Linked DNA regions of Canis lupus familiaris. The protein of the gene in region 2 interacts with the protein of the main gene of each other region in a pairwise test. Links are inferred from orthologs where the notes say so. Each region holds a gene or a part of one and is shown on either strand. Other genes may lie near its edges. The genes, in order: DOK3 and ANKS1A.

What was found.
Region 1: the proteins of ANKS1A (region 2) and DOK3 interact in a two-hybrid assay, tested with the Homo sapiens proteins (2 studies listed by BioGRID and IntAct). The link is inferred for Canis lupus familiaris from reciprocal best matches to the Homo sapiens genes ANKS1A and DOK3.

Annotation. Positions count from the first base shown.
Region 1 is NC_049225.1:36,747,531-36,751,880, forward strand, and holds the start of DOK3 (docking protein 3), read left to right. Parts: upstream 1-1,258; 5' UTR 1,259-1,554; coding exon 1,555-1,620; intron 1,621-2,601; coding exon 2,602-2,907; intron 2,908-4,350. UniProt on the Homo sapiens protein: DOK proteins are enzymatically inert adaptor or scaffolding proteins. They provide a docking platform for the assembly of multimolecular signaling complexes. DOK3 is a negative regulator of JNK signaling in B-cells through interaction with INPP5D/SHIP1.
Region 2 is NC_049233.1:4,445,941-4,448,758, forward strand, and holds the end of ANKS1A (ankyrin repeat and SAM domain-containing protein 1A), read left to right. Parts: intron 1-607; coding exon 608-778; intron 779-982; coding exon 983-1,081; intron 1,082-1,591; coding exon 1,592-1,711; 3' UTR 1,712-2,198; downstream 2,199-2,818. UniProt on the Homo sapiens protein: Regulator of different signaling pathways. Regulates EPHA8 receptor tyrosine kinase signaling to control cell migration and neurite retraction.

The DNA.
Region 1 (4,350 bases), on a different chromosome or scaffold from region 2:
ACTGCCCACAGCCCACAGACTGCCAGTAGAGAATTCTCTATTCCCCTTGCTGAGAGGCCAGCAGATGCCACAGGACTGCTATTCAGGCCACTAGCACTCGGTGACCTCACTCTGTGTCCAGCTCCCTGCTGGGCTCAGGATCCAAGCAATCCAGGCAAACACCTGTTGGGAAGCTCCTAGGTAAGTGGGAGAGACAGGAGATAGGAATAATTGGGGGTGGCAGCAGGAGACTCCTGGCAAATGGAGTAGGATGTCAGCATCTGGCGAGGGACAGGCAGAGGAAGAGCCACTAGCAGCACATGCTGTATCCCAGTAGGACAGCCATTGCTCAAGTCACAGTTTGTCACTTTGTGTTTGGCCTTAGGCAAGTTACTTAATGTTTCTGAGCCTCGATTTCCTCATCATTGAAATGCAATGAGAATGCAAAGGACAGGGTGTCCTAATGCTGGAGCTCAAGGCTGCTCAGGCTGCAATGGACACAAAGCCAGGTGGGCAGGCCCTTGGAAAAGATTTCCTGCTGACACCCCACATGTGACCCTAAATGGTATTACTCAGCCTGGTTACCCATGCTTTTGTAAAAGCGACATTGAATGACATGAGGCTGTCCCCAGAATTCAGACTCATAGCCCCAATAGTAGCCTCTAGCAAGGTGAGGCAAAAAAAGATGCCTGGCAACAAGCAAAGTTTAAAAAGAGTATGTGAGCTCTCCAGGACCCACTGGGGGCATGCCACCCATACATGACCGGGCCATGCTGCGAGGACCGGAGTTCACTGATTGGGCCCTTGTGCTCAGCAAAAGTGAGAAAGTGGGGCCTCCCAGGGTTAGAGGCAGCCCAGCGATCAAGTTGAACAGTGGTAAGGGGTTCCCTGGAGGCACTGGGCTGAGGCAATTGGAGGCCGGAACAGGGCACCTTGGGTGCCACGCTGAGGAGCCCAGGCTATGCCCCAGCGCAGGGGGGCAGTCGAGAAAGGCTTGGGAAGGGGAGAGATGGGTTGGTTTGGGCTCGGTTGAAAGGACCACAGTGGGACAGTGGTTCAAAGGGGAAATAATGAACAGGGATGTAAAGACGGGACCAAGTGAATATTAGAAACAGTTCTAAAATAAGCAGAGCGGGACTGAGGCTCAAGAGAAAAAGCAAGGAACTGGCCAGTCTGGCTAGAGGGGGGTCCTGGGGCAGGGACGGGGCTGTGGGAATATCAGGCGCTGGGGTATACAGCTGCCCTGCACAGAAGAGAGGTCAGAGCATATGACTCACAGTCAGCTGACCCAGGTACAGGCCTAGGTCATCTGCTCTCCAGTAGTCTGAGGCCCCTGCCAGGCCCACGTGAGCATATGGGGCCCCAGGACCCAGAGGAAGGTATATGTGACGTCCCCACCCCCTATCCTACCTCCTTTACTGAAGGACGGACTCCCCTCCCCCCAGCCCTGCAGCTGCCTCTCTGAACAGAGGGAGGGGGAAGTGGCCAGAAGGGGAAGTGTGAGGAGTTCCCCTCTGGCCTGTCACCAGTCTCCTCAGGCCCTCAGAGTGGCAGTCCTGAGGCCTGGCAGCGGCCATGGAGCCTCTGGAGACTCCCATCAAGGACGGCATCCTCTACCAGCAGCACGTCAAGTTCGGCAAGGTGGGGACCCTGGCTGCCCAGCAGCTGCCCAGGGCGGTAGGCCTCTGGCCCAGCCTCAGCCCACCAAGACCTGGGAGAATGGGGAAGGGAGTCAGGGTGGGTGACCCAACCAAGGTGCTGGGGAATAGAACAGAGCCCCATTCTCAGCTTGAGTGGGTTGGGCTGAGTGGGCCTTTATGAGAGCCAGCCCTGTTCAAGGATGGGGAAGCCAAGAGTGGGGAGGATCTAAGAATCCAAACCTTGGGGCAGGGCTGAGCTGAGAAGCTGACTGACCTGATAGCCTTCCGCCCCATGTTGTAGAGGCACCAAGGCCCCTGTAGAGAAGGCTGGAGGCTTAGTTGGAGGATCCCTCCGACCCCACCCCACATAGGAGGGCTCAGTCCCTATAGCCCTGTTATGGGACATAGTTGGGGAGTTTACGTCTCCCCAGGCAGGAGGCCCTGCACCCTCATAGCTCAGCTGCAGCTGCTGCCCAGGGAGATAAACAGTCTATTTCCTTTGCTTTATGCTATTTGCATGTTTCCTTCCTTGCCATCATGAGACTGAGGCCTCCTTCCTGGCTCAGTCCTTGTCCCATGGTCCAAAGGGACCTGTTCTTTGGTGAGGAAGGGAGTAGGGGCACCAACATAATGATAGTATCAGGTGGTCTGCTTTAACTACTAGATACTTCAGAGACATAACCCAGTAGAAGCCCCAACTTTGTGTACTCTTAGTTTTTTGAGATGGGGGTACTAGTGCTCCTGGAGGTCAAAGGCAATTGGTGGGGTGGATTTGAACCCACAGCTGCCTGGCCCCAAGCACAGACTCTTCCCCCTGCTGGTCTGACCTTGGCAAGGCCTCCTTCTCTATGGCCCTGAGGATCTGAGGGAAGCAGAGGCCAGCCTGAGTGGCCAGGAACATTTGCTGAGCAGTTTGTGCTGAGCTGAGCTACAGGGAGAACTGCCACTCAAGGGTCTTTTCCCCCATCTTCACCTCCCACAGAAGTCCTGGCGGAAGGTATGGGGTCTGCTATATGCAGGAGGACCATCAGGTGTGGCACGGCTGGAGAGCTGGGATGTCCGGGATGGTGGCCTGGGGCCAGCAGGCGACAGGTCTGCAGGACCCTGCCGGCGTGGGGAACGGCGGGTCATCCGCCTGGCTGACTGCGTGTCTGTGCTGCCTGCTGATGGTGAGAGCTGCCCCAAAGATACTGGTGCCTTCCTGCTCACCACCACAGAGCGAAGCCACTTACTGGCTGCCCAGCATCGCCAGGAATGGATGGGCCCCATCTGCCAGCTGGCCTTCCAGGTGAGCATAAGGCGGTTGGGCAGGGCATCCGGGGCCAGAAGTGGACTACCTGATACCCCCACCTTGTTCATCTCCGTGGTCACTCACATCCTGGCACTCAGCTAGTACCTGCCAAGGACCCACAAGCCTAAGGAAATAGCCCCCTAAATCCATAGAATGAATCTCACATGGCCATTCATGCTGTGGAGAAAATGAAAGGCTGGTGGGACCAGGAATGAATGGTGGGTTGTTAGATGGGAAGGCCTCTTCGGAAGGGGCAGTAAGCCCAAGTCCTCAAGGACAAATAAGAACTCACCAAGCAAAGATCTGAGGCAAGGGTGATCCGGACACTGAGGCCTGAGGAATATCCTGAACGGATGGAGTAGCAAGGGCAAAGGCCCTGAAGCAGGGAAAAGTTTGGTATATCAAAGAGGTGGAAAGGCCACCATGCCTGGAGGGTAAGGAGTGGGGAGGGAGCCTAGGAGGAGGCAAAGTTGGAGAGTTTGGTGGGAACCAGCTGAAACTACTTTGGGCCACATTTGGAGTTTGGGGTCATATTCTGAGAGGAGAAGCCTTTGGAGGAAGTTTTTGGGAGCCAGGGACTGAAAGCTTTAAAGTTTCATAGAGGGATTCCTGGGTGGCTCAGCGATTTAGCGGCTGCCTTAGTTAGGCCCAGGGCGAGATCCTGGAGTCCTGGGATCAAGTCCTATGTCGGGCTCCCTGTGTGGAGCCTGCTTCTCCCTCTGCCTGTGTCTCTGCCTCTCTGTGTCTCTCATGAATGAATAAATAAAAATCTTTGAAAAATAAAATAAAAAAATAAAGCTTCATAGAGTCTATTATGGACCAAAAGGAAATGAGCCTAGTTCCTCAAAAAGTTAAACATAGAGTTACCGTATGACCCAGCAATTCCACTGGTAGGTGTATACCCAAGAGAATTGAAACAGGTGTTCAAACAGAGCTTGTATGAGAATGCTCAGAGCAGCATTAATCACAATGACTCAAAGGTGCTATTAACTGATGAATGGTACACCAAATGTATTCTATCCATACAAAAGAATATTACCTGACCATAAAAAAAAAAAAAAAAAAAGAATGAGGTACTGATACATGCTAATACCATTAATGAACCTGGAGAACATCATGCTAATTAAAAGGAGCCATACACAAAAGACCATATATTTGTATGATTCTATTTATGTGAAACACCCAGAATAGGCAAATCTATAGGGAAAGCAGCTTAGTGGCTGCCAGGGGCTAGGAAGGGGGAGTGGGTAGAGACTGCTGATGGATTTTAATGTGGAATGATAAAAAAAAAAAAAATTCTGGAACTAGGGGCCCCTGGGTGGCTCAGTTGGTTAAGCGTCTGCCTTTGGATCAGGTCATGATCCCCGGGTCCTGGGATGGAGCCCTGAACCCTGCATGTCAGGCTACCTGCTCAGCAGGCAGGAAGTCGGCTTCTCCCTC
Region 2 (2,818 bases):
GGGAGAATAGCTAGTTCCCAAATCTCTGGCTTCTGGAACACAGCTGGCCAGGCATTCTCAGCCCCAGGAAGTCCATGCTTGCTCCAGCCTGGCATCAGACACCTGGCTCTGCCACTTGCTAGCTGTGTGGTCTTAGAATTGGGCTCTGCGTCTGAAAAGGGGCTATAATGTGAGCAATTTCATGGGGTTTGTTCTGAAGGTAAAGGGGGTCCTCTACCCATACTTGTAGTTCCTGCCACTTTTACCCAGAGCTCACATTTCCCAGTCATTTCTGCTGTAACACAGTACACACGCTCCTGAAGATCAAAGGCTACAGCTCACCTAGTAAAAAGCAGGGTTTGTGGGGAGACAGGGCTGGGGGCACAACACTCAGAAACTTCGTCAGTGGCACATTAGAACAGGAACCTAATAAAAACACCGGCCCTGCTCTGTTCACATCTGCTGGTTGAGAAGTCCATAGCTGCTCCGGTCAGCAACCCCCCGCGCCCCTGACCACCACCACCAGCCTGTGCTCAGGGCCGTGAGGCTGGGCTGGGGGTCTGGGCAAAGGGGTCCGTCTGGTGGCTCCTCGACCTTGGTGCTGAAGCTGGGCTCTGTCTCCTCCCAGAACCTGACCTACGAGATCATCCTGACGCTGGGGCAGGCGTTTGAGGTGGCCTACCAGCTGGCCCTGCAGGCCCAAAAGTCCCGGCCGCTAGGGGCCTCCGCTGCCGAGACGATTGAAACAAAATCTTCCAAGCCGGTGCCTAAGCCTCGGGTTGGCACGAGGAAGTCAGCAGTACGTGGGCCCAGACCCCTACCCCCCACCCCAGCGGGCTCTGGGGGCTTGGGGTGGAGCGGGCACCAGGAGGGGCTTCTCACGCAGCAGCCAGCACCTCCCCCATGAGCCCCCACTGTCCCCCACGGGCTTCCATCCCCTCCCTCGCCGGGCACCCCTGGTAACACCACCCCGTGTCTGTGTCTGCTTTGCTCTGCACCCCAGGTGCCGCTGCCCCCCGATAGTCGCTGTTGTCACTGTCACACCTGCACCACCCATCGTCCTTCCTACCTACCGCTGCCGTCTGTTAGTCCCGGAGTCAAGGTCTTTACACCTCCTGCTGTCTGTGTGTCAGTCTCCCCGAAGTGACTGTGAGCTTCCTGAGATGCTAGTGCCTCTCTTCCCTGAGCTGCCCTCCTGCTGTCCCTGCATCTGCTTCAGCTGTCTGTCTGTGTGTCCTCACTGCACAGGCCTACCCGGGGTGCGCCCTCAGCCTGGCCCAGGAAACCGGAGGCTTGGTGTTTTCCTGCCTCCATGAATAGGTCTGGGGCTCAGAGCATGAGGCTCTTTACCTGAGCAGCTCTGAGAAGTTGCCCCTGAGAGGCCTAGAGGTAGCCCTCCTGTGAAGCTCCGGGAGGGTGCCACTCCTGCCACCCCAGCCCTAGGGAGCTTGCTCTTCAAGGAGAACGGAGGCTGCCCCTCATGTGCCCTGTGCTGGCATGACATCAGCATGGCCCCGGCAGGAGGAAGGGACAGCTGGGCCCTGGCCCACCCTGGCCCGGCCCGGCCCAGCCCGGCGCTCCCTCTCTGACCCCTTGCCCTCCTTCTTGGCAGCTGGAACCGCCCGACCTGGACCCGGACACCCAGTCCCATGCCAGCGTCTCCTGGGTTGTGGACCCTAAGCCAGACTCTAAGCGGAGCCTCAGCACCAAGTATGAGACCACTATCTTCTAACTGCTCGCTCCCTGTCTCCACTAGTCTCACTGTGCCTTGCCATCCGACCTCTACTCTTCTCAGCTCTCCTTCCGGCTGCTGACACCAAGGCCGCAGTCCTGGGGGGACCTGCTCTCCTCCCGGGCGGCAGCTCTAGACACTCTCCACTCACAGCTTGTACCCAACACCACCGGACACTGTGAAGTCCCCCCTGGGCAAGAACAGCTTGGCGGGGAGGGGGGTGAGTTGCCCCAGAAGTGGGCGCCCCGAGGGCTGAGGGTGCCCTGGTGTGCCCAGGAGGCCTCAGCGGGAAGGTGCTGTGAGTCCTGAGGGGTGGGCAGTCTTCAAGCAGCATCCAGACAGCGCCAGTGACCACTCCCTCTGAGCAGGCGGGCCTGTGTGCTCCCCTCTCCCGTCTTCTGTGCCGAGCCGTGGCTGGCTGCCGCTGCCCAGAGAAAACTGTCTTTTTGCACCTTTCCTGACACAACCAACCACTGTGACCACTGGTGCCAGAACCCCTTGCACTCTGCTCACGCTGGCCTGCGGCCCTGTCCCTCTGTCCTCTGCTGTATGGTGCTGGCCTCCCCACAGGAGAGCCCGAGCTCAGCGGTGTGGCCTGACTGGGGTCCGACTGCGTTCTGTGAGGGGCCCAAGGGCCTCGGGCACATGCCTGACTCCACAGCCTGGAGCTCTGCGCATCTGGACCCCGCGGGCTGGCTTCCCTCAGCAGGGCTCCTGTCCCGCTGGGCCTTCCGCTCCGAGGAATGGGACGGCAGGTGTGCGGTCGGCCCCTCAGGTCTTCGCCAGCGAGTCACGAGGAGGCTGGCTCCGGGGCCCAGCTCGCCAAGGGGCAGGCCCTTCCGTAGGCCCCGGCCAGAGGGAGGCCTGTCCCAGCACACACGGTCTGCCTTCTTCCCTCCCAGAACGGAGCCGCTCGAGGACAGGGAGCCCATTGCCCTCTGGGGGCTGACACCTGTCCACGGTGTGGGGTCAGAGCTAGGCAGCCACCACCCACTCCTTCCCCGGTTGGCCACCCTCGGCCCCCTGCGTCCCCTGAGAGGGGAGGCCGTACGGGCTGCCCAGCTGGGATGGTGGAGCTGAGGCTTTTGAAGAAGCCACAGTCGCCCC